Linked DNA regions of Canis lupus familiaris. The protein of the gene in region 2 interacts with the protein of the main gene of each other region in a pairwise test. Links are inferred from orthologs where the notes say so. Each region holds a gene or a part of one and is shown on either strand. Other genes may lie near its edges.

Region 1 (4,575 bases), on a different chromosome or scaffold from region 2:
TAAGATTAAGATTTGTTTTAATCTGAGGACAGGAATTAGAAGGTAATGGTTCCTGGCTTAGCAAATGGAGGAATCAGTAAAATCTTTTGCTAAAATGCAGATTCATGGTCCCCACTTCCAGAGATTCTGATTCCCTAGCTCTACAGTAGGGGCTCAGAATCTGTACTCTACATAAGCATTTTAGATAATTCTTATGCATGGTAACTAAGATAGTAATCTTTAATAAGAGATGCTCATCACAATCACTGGGAACTCCTCTGAAATTATACATCTCCCTTCCTTAGAACTAATAAATCATGTTCTCCATAGGAGAACAAAAGACTCTTAAATCTTGGGGCACCTGGCCGGCTTAGTCAGTACAGTAGGGGACTCTTGATCTTGGGTCATGAGTTTAAGCCCTATGTTGGGCACATAGATTACCGTAAAAAAAAAAAAAAAAGACTCTAAATCTTGTCCAGGTGATTCTAATACATATCCTCGTGAGTAGTTAGATTTAGAGAAATGAAAACATATCCTTCAGGCCATCCACTAGATTATGGATAGGCTAGGTTGCTAAGTAAATAGTCTAAATGCTTTAATAGGCATTTAAGTTTCTGAGTTGATAACAACCTCCTAAGAAAGTTCAGGGACCTAAGGAAGAATGCCATGCTTTTTTTCTTTCTCCTTAGCAATGAGCAAAGGTATAACCCACAGGTAGGCTCAAATATACCTTAGAAGATAGTTCTATCTCCCAGATAAACAAATGATCCCCTAAGTTTCCAAAGTTCTATTCTACAGAATGTGGTGGAAATAAAACAGGGACACATTTAAATCCAAATGCCCACTTTGGCCATAAAAAAATACCTCACAATAAGTAAGGCAAGAATATTAATTAAAACGCTAACTTTTTAGTAGTTCTGCCCAATTAACTAGCTATAAAATGAACTTCTATGTAAACTAATAAGTTGGCAAGCCACATGGCTACTTGTTATGAGTCAGTTAAAATTTGGAAGATGATTTGAAGTTTAAAAGTTGATCCTAAGCTTTCTTTTGTCAAGTGATGATGATAGGGTCAACTATGTTTAGGATCTCTCCTAACTGATAATAAAATTATAACATCAGCATAAAAATGCTTATTTTTCTATACTCTCTTATGTATATTTACTATGTATGTTTTGGGGAGGAGTAGAAGTGAATGAAAAAGCTTTGCTCAGTCTCATTAGAAATTATTATAGTAATAGACTAGTTAAGGGTCCATTCCAACCCACCCTGACTATGCCACTCAGGTATGTTTTGATTGAAAATTTACCTGTTTTGACAAAAGATTTTTAGAAAAAGTCATTTGTAGTAGTAGTCCTCATCCTCCTCAAAAAAGGAGAATAGGTAGCAAGAATTTTCAAGATTCTCAAAGAGGAATTTACTGTGTTTTAGAACTTTACAATTTTCATTTGCTCCTCTGTGTTATTTAGTAATCACAATATCCTAAAATATGGAAACACTAAAAAAGCATCAACATATTATTGTTAACTGGGGCGCCTGGGTGGTTCAGTTGGTTAAGCATCCGACTCTTGATCTCAGCTCAGGTCTTGATCTCAGGGTCCTGAGTTTGAGCCCCACGTTGGGCTCCACACCCAGGGTGGAGCCTGCTTAAAAAAATGGGGAGGAAAAAGAGAAAAAACTTAATTTAAACAGGTGTGATTAATGGTATGCTTGTGTGAAAAAGGGTACTCATTTATTAGAGATACAGACTTTGCTGCTTACAAGGTGAGAATGAAAACACGTCTGGGATTTCCTTTGAAAGACTGTCGTCAGCGCGCGTGCACACACACACACACACACACACACACACACACACCAGTGGGGTGGAGACAGAAGACCTTAGATGGGCCTTGAGTTGGTAATTGCTGAAGCTGAATGATGGGCACACAACATTGCATCATTCTCACTATATTTTATGTTATGTAGGGGAATTTTCCGTAATAAACAGTAAAGTTATCGTAGTCAGCAAAACGCATTATCTTTAGACATGATTCGTTTTCAGAATGATTCTTTTGAGAGTTTGAGATATCTTAAGATGCAGAGTGAAAGATGTGATACAAACCAGTAAAATGTTTTTGTTTTTTTTTTTGCAAGTTTACGGGGTATAAGGGTAGCTATGAAAAAGTATCACGACTGTGAGAGAAACCCGTTAGAAGTGAGCATTCACAGAACAGAAATCTCTGGGAAAGGCTAAAACCTGTATCTCTGCAGTGACAACAGCCCAGTGCAGCTGTAAACCTACGACTCCGAGCCAAACACAATTCCTCTTCTGTCTCGGCACTGCCTCCTCCGGTCCGAGGGGGCGCGGTGTCCGGGGTCGGGATTTCGCGAGGACACTTGGCAGAGGCGACAGCCAGAAGGAAAGGGCCGGGGATACAGCAGCCGAGCAAAGGCTCGGGCGGCAGACGCCGGGCAGCCTGGCTTTGTCACCCGGAGGCCGGTCCCTTCCGAGCCTCGATTCCTCGAGTGGGATGACAATAGTACCTACCTTACAGGGTTGTTGGGAGCTTTAATTATTAAGCATGCATGTGCAGACCATGCAGCTCGTAACTGGTAGGCACTGTTGGTGTATTATTAAGGACGGCGCGTTAGGGCAGCGGCGCGAGCTGCGGGCGCCGGCGGCGAGGAAAGAAGACTCCGCTCGCTCCGCACCCGCCCGTCTCCGGGCCCGGGCGCAGGCCCAAGGGATGCTCAGGCCTCCTTCGGGCGCCGCTCTCCGGCTGCAGGTCGCTCTCCGCTCAGGCTGGGGTACAGCCGCCGGGCGCCGGCTGCTCGGCTCCGGGCCCCCAGCAGGAACCTGCGGGGCGCGGGGAGACGGAAGAGTCCGCAGCGGCCTCCAGCCGGCCGCCCCGGGGTTCCATCCGGGTCCTCCGCGTGGCTTCCCGCCCGCCGCCCGGCCGAGGAGTCTCCCCGCGCGCAGGCGCATTAGCCGCCGGTGGAGGGCTCCGCCGGCTGGAGTGAGGAGCATGCGCATGCGCGGTGGTCCGCTCCCTTTTTTTTTTTTTTTTTTTTTTGTATACGTGGAGCGGGGATTCTTTTGTGTGTCTGCCAGAGAGGATGAGTCGTAGAATCTAAGGAATGGAGAGTCCACGTCGTTCTTCAGAGCACTGAAGTCGATTTTGTAACACCCAATAATTAGCGTTTTCTATGTGTGATCAAGGAGTAAAGAGTTAGGAAGCTCATTGTACTCCCCAATTAAACATTGCGGCAAGCGCGACAGGCTGTAAGCTCCACGGAGATACTCGCAGTGGAGATGAACTTCTAGAGCTTGTGTCTTCTTGTCCATGCAGGTCACCCCTTTCCATAAATTAGAGCATGTAGATGAATTTCCTCAGAACCATAATTCGAGAGAAAAGACCGTCAGTTTTATTTAAAGTTCATTTTAACAGGGACACCTGGGTGGCTCAGTGGCTGAGCATCTGTCATTGGCTCAGGTCATGATCCCAGAGTCCTGGGATCGAGTCCTGCATCAGGCTCCTGCAGGGAGCCTGCTTTTCCCTCTGCCTATGTCTCTGTGTCTCTCATGAATAAATAAAATCTTTAAAAATAACATAAAATTCGTTTTAACTTGATCTTAAACTTATAAACTCATTATTAGATTTTAGACGGAAAAAATTCCCAAGTAGAAACTAGATAACATTGCTAAAAGAAACTCAAACAGACGTCCTTCCTATTTGGGGGGTATTTCCTCTCAGAATTGTTACAAACTTAATGAAAGAACAATTTATTCATTTTTGTATAGTTAGTCTTGTTAGAAGCATCCCACAAGGTTGGGGAAAGGGGTATTATTAAAGAATGTGGGACAGATGCATCATTTTCAGGTGTTGAGGGTGAACCTTGTAGACTGAGGCAGGCTTAAGGTTTCTGTCAACAGAAGAAATTGCAAGAGACCAGTCTTCCTGGCCCAGAAAGTGGGGTCTTAAAATACTAGAGAAAGGAGTAGGCTTTACTTGACATTTGACTTGACAAGTCAAAGATACTTGGCTTTATGTCCTGCACTTTTTTTTTTAAGATTTTATTTATTCATAAGAGACAGAAACAGAGACATATGCAGAGGGAGAAGCAGTCTCCTAGCAGGAGCCTGATAGGAACTCCATTCCAGGATCCCAGAATCATGACCTGAGCCAAAGGGAGACACTCAACCACTGAGCCACCCAGGTGCCCCTAACACTTTTAACTGTCGGGACTTGAGCAAGCTACATGGATTTAAGTCCATGTGCTTATTGTAAAATAGGGGTACTATCCATTACTCCAGGAAGTTCTTTTGCAGAAGTAACATATAAAAATTACATGGCTTTAGCACTCAAAAGGCAGCTATTATTGAGATAATAAAATCGAACGTTCAGGGGCACCTGCATGGCTCAGTCCATTAAGCATCTGTCTTTGACTTAGGTCATGATCTCAGGATCCTGGGAATCCAGCCCCGAGTCAGGCTTCCTGCTCAGGGAGTCAGCTTCTCCCTCTCCCTCTGCCATTACCCCTGCTTGTGCTCTGTCAAATAAACAAAATCTTAAAAAAAAAAAAAAAAAAAAAAAAAAAAATCAAAGTTCACATAAG
Region 2 (4,430 bases):
GTGCCGGCACCCAGCTCCACCGCAGAGCAGCCCCTGAGCTCCACAGCTCCCATCTCCAGGTACGTGGAAAGAACCACAGCCTGAGTCAAAACACAGCGGGACGATCCAAGTCAACAAATGCTTTAGGAGCCCAAGGGTTTCGGGCAGCTTCCCACTAGCGGGGGACATCACACGCCCCCCTCACCCTGCATGGTTCCAGGCCCAGTTTAGTGATGTGCAGAAACTCAGCAGCTGCTGGTGGGTGACCCCCTAGAGGGGGCACAGACACCGCAGCCTCGCCCCACCAGGTCCCTCCTGGGGACCGCAGGAGTCACGGACACTGCCCACACAGCATAGCGTCCTGCTCCATCTGGCACCTTTAATTTCTTGCTGTTTGGTATATGAATTATATCTCAATAAACCTGTTATTAAAAATAATAATAATTGGGCAGCCCGGGTGGCTCAGCGGTTTAGTACCGCCTTCAGGCCAGGGCCTGATCCTGGAGTCCTGGAATCGAGTCCCACGTTGGGCTCCCTGCATGGAGCCCGCTTCTCCCTCTGCCTGTGTCTCTGCCCCTCTCATGAATAAATAAAAAAAATTAAACCATAAAATAAAATAAAATAAAATAAAATAAAATAAAATAAAATAAAATAAAACAAAATAAAATAAATAAAATAAAATAAAATAATAAAATAATAAAATAAAATAATAAAATATAAAATAAAATAAAATATAAAATAAAAATAAATAAAATAAAATAAATAAAATATAAAATAAATTAAATTAAATTAAAAAATAAAATAAAATAAAATAAAATAAATAAATAAAATAAAATAAAATAAAAATAATAAAATAAATAAAATAAAAGGCAGCCCGGATGGTTCAGTGGTTTAGCGCTGCCTCCAGCCCAGGGTGTGATCCTGGAGTCCCGGGATCGAGTCCCTGTGTGGAGCCTGCTTCTCCCTCTGCCTGTGTCTCTGCCACTCTCTCTCTGTCTCTCATGAATAAATAAATAAAATCATAAAAAAATAAAAATAAATAAAAATAATAAAATTATAATAAAGACCATTCTTACAATGAATTGTGGTTGTCTTCAGAGGCCCAGTGGCTGTACTTACCGCGTCCCAAACCACTGCTGCGACTCCCAGCTGCCTCCAGTCCTGCCGGATCTGGATCGTGTGGTTCGCAAAGGAGAAGGTGGCAAGAGGCTTGTGGAATTTCTGCAACCCCACTCCCGGGGTGTCCTCATAGGGCACCAGGGCCATTTCGCAGGCACTCAGCTCTCTGCACCCTCAAAGCTCTTGAGGCTCTGGCCAGGGGGAGAAAATAAAAAAAGCATTCTCTCTTAAGTAGCTCCAAATGCTTTTTAAGGCCATTTTTCACAAGTTCAAAAGAAGACAACAGAGGTGGGGGTGGGGGGGCTTGCTAAGTCCCTCGCGAGGCCCTTCCCCTTCTGGGAGGGGCGCCCGGTTCCGCAGCCCGGCCACGGAGTCGGCTCTGGGCCCACGACCCCGCGGGCGCACCGCGGCTGCAGGGGGCCCGGAGCGGCGGCCCAGGGCGGGGACGCGGGCACGCGCGGGAGCTCTAGCCGCGGGCCGCAGCTTGGGTCGCCCCCCGCCGGCTCTGAAGTCCCCCACAGCGACGGCCACGAGCCCGAACCTGCACTTGGACCGGGTGTTAACGGTTTGCGCGCAGCCCCGGGTCGCCCCGGCTGGAAGTGCGAGCCCCGAGCCCCGAGCCCCGAGCCCGCCCGTCCGCGACCCCCTCGCGCGGGCCCCAGAGCTCCGGGAACGGGGGGGTCCCCGGCCGCGCCCAGGCCGCCCCCCAGGCCCTGCGGGCACAGCGGCCGAGCCCGAGCTGGGCCCCCGGCCTCCACTCACCGCTCCGGAGCCGCCCCGCGCCGCGCGCCTCGCTCCGCCCGCCCCGAGCGCCTCCGGGCCGCAGACACGCTTCCGGCCCCGCCTGCAGGTGAGCTGGGCGCGCGCCCGAGGGGTCCGGCCCGCCTCCCTCCCTCCCTCCGCGGCCCGAGGTGTGCGAGCCCCGAGGCCGGGCCGGTCTCCGAGGGCGGGGAGGGCGGGAGGGCGGGAGGCAGGGAGGCCTCGGCCGGCTGGGGGCGCGCGCGGCTCGGGCTCTCCCCGGCCGGGGCCCCGCGGCTCCGCGCGCTTCTCTCGGGCTTTGCCGACGGGGAGCGTCCGCCCGGCCCGAGCGCGGAGGGTCGCCCGTCGCCCGCGGACCGAGTGGGCTCCGAGGAGTGCGCGGCCGCCCCTCCGTCCTCGCCTTGCCCCGTGCTGGGTCCTCGGCCCTCCGCGTCCGAGGCGCTGGCGTCGCCGCTTGGTGGCAACAGAGGAGAAGTGACAAAGCCCCTGTCGTCCAGAGCGCGAACTCGGAGTCCGCGCGCGACTGGCCCCGCGCCCCTCCTCCCCGGACCCGCGCCTCCTCATCCTCCCCGGACCCGCGTCCCCTCCTCCCGGGACCCCGGTCCCCCTCCTCCCCGGGCCCCGCTCTCCCCCTCCTCCCCGGGTCCCGGTCCCCCTCCTCCTCCCCGGGCCCCCTCCTCCCAGGGTCCCGCGTCCCCTCCTCCCCGGGTCCCGCTCCCCCTCCTCCTCCCCGGGCCCCCTCCTCCCCGGGCCCCGCTCTCCCCCTCCTCCCCAGGTCCCGGTCCCCCTCCTCCTCCCCGGTCCCCCTCCTCCCAGGGTCCCGCGTCCCCTCCTCCCCGGGTCCCGCTCCCCCTCCTCCTCCTCGGTCCCCCTCCTCCCCGGGTCCCGGTCCCCCTCCTCCCCGGGCTCCCTCCTCCCTGGTCCCCCTCCTCCCAGGGCCGGCGGTGGGCGCACCTGCCCCAGGGACCTCGGTGCCGGACGCGACAGTCACCGACCCAAGCTGCCTCCGTCCTCCCTTTCTTCCCGCTGTGCGCCACCCCCCCCCCCCCCCCGCCCCACCTGCCGCCGCTCGTCCCGGGGGTTTTCCGCGTCCCCGCGCCTGAGCAGGACCGCGGCGCCCGCCACCTGCCCCGCCTGGGCTCTGCCGCGGGGACGTCTCTACTGCTGCCGGGCGACCGAGCGTGGGCCCTTCCCGGTGCCTCCCGTGCGACCTGCTGCAGGAGCCTCAGGCCAAACCTAAACCGCCGCTCTCTGGCCTCCCCCCTCCTGCAGGGGGCCTGCGAGCCTCTCCCCACTTTTCTTTAACCTTCCAGCGGAAGGCCGGGCCGCAGAGGAGACTTGGAAGGGATCAGCAGTGAAGAAGGCCTTTGGCTAACTTTTTGTCTTTGCTCAGCTTGTTTATTTTAATTTTTAAGATTGTATGTAATAGGATTTATTTTTTAGTGCAGTTTTAAGTTCAGAGCAAAATTGTTGAGAAGAGACAGAGATTTCCCATACACTCCCTGCACCAGCACAGGCTTAGCCTCCCCCCCCCCATTATCAGCACCCCCCCCACCAGAGTGGCACATTTGTTACAATTGATGAACCTTCTTTGAACACAGCATTATCACCCAGAGACCATAGGTTATTTGGGGGGCTCATCCTTGGTCTTGAGCATTTTATTTATGAGTTTGGACAAATCTGTAATGGCAAATATCCACCATCATAGCGTCATATAGAGAAGTGTCATTTCCCTAAACATCCCCTGCGCTCCACCTGTGGATCTCCCTCCCTCTACCATAACCCCTGGCAACCGCTAATCTTTTTACGCAGTTCCTCTGGTCCATACCAAAGAGTGTGATTACTGAATTTTATGGTGAAAGTATGTTGAGTTTTATAAGAAACTACTAGACTCTCTTCCAAAGTGGCTGTACCATTTTGTGTTCCCACTAGTAATGAATGAGAGTTTCCGTTGCTCCATGTCCTTGTCAGTATTCGATGTTGTGTTTTGAATTTTAGCCACTCTGGTAGGTGTGTACTAGTTGTTTTAATTTGCAATTCCCTAGTGACATGTGATGTGGAACATCTTCATATGCTTGTTTGCCATCTGTGGATCTTCTTTAATGAAGTGCCTGTGGAGTCTTTGGCCTACTTTTTTGGTCCTATTTTATTTTCCAGCTTTATTGAGATATAATTGACATATTTAAGTTTAAGGTATAAAGTGTGATGATCTGATACGTGTATATACTGCAAAACCATTATTATAATAAGGTTAGTTAACACATCCATCATCTCACATAATTATTACTTTGTGCACGTGTGTAGTGAGAACATTTAAAATCCACTCTCTTAACAACTATTAAGTATAGGCTACAGTATTATTAACTATAATCACCATGCTGAATATTAGATTCCTAGAACTTACTCATCTTATAACTGTAAGTTGGTACCCTCTAACCAGCATCTCCTCATTCCCCTACCCCCTGCCCCTGGCAACCACCATTCTAACCTGTTTCTATGAATTTGGCTATTTTAAAAAATAGATCCCACATAGGGGCATCTCGGTGGCTCAGCCAGTTAAGCATCCAGCTCTT

What was found.
Region 1: the proteins of METTL21A (region 2) and ZBED8 interact in binary tests that used the Homo sapiens proteins (3 or more experiments, as listed by UniProt). The two-hybrid records come from large-scale screens. The link is inferred for Canis lupus familiaris from reciprocal best matches to the Homo sapiens genes METTL21A and FAM200C.

The regions. Positions count from the first base shown.
Region 1 is NC_049225.1:51,217,235-51,221,809, reverse strand, and holds the start of ZBED8 (protein ZBED8), read right to left. Parts: upstream 2,918-4,575; 5' UTR 2,507-2,917; intron 1,623-2,506; 5' UTR 1-1,622.
Region 2 is NC_049258.1:15,863,939-15,868,368, forward strand, and holds the start of METTL21A (protein N-lysine methyltransferase METTL21A), read right to left. Parts: upstream 3,097-4,430; 5' UTR 2,812-3,096; intron 1,949-2,811; exon of another isoform or gene 1,861-1,948; intron 1,710-1,860; exon of another isoform or gene 1,640-1,709; intron 1,290-1,639; 5' UTR 1,246-1,289; coding exon 1,099-1,245; intron 81-1,098; coding exon 1-80. UniProt on the Homo sapiens protein: Protein-lysine methyltransferase that selectively trimethylates residues in heat shock protein 70 (HSP70) family members. Contributes to the in vivo trimethylation of Lys residues in HSPA1 and HSPA8.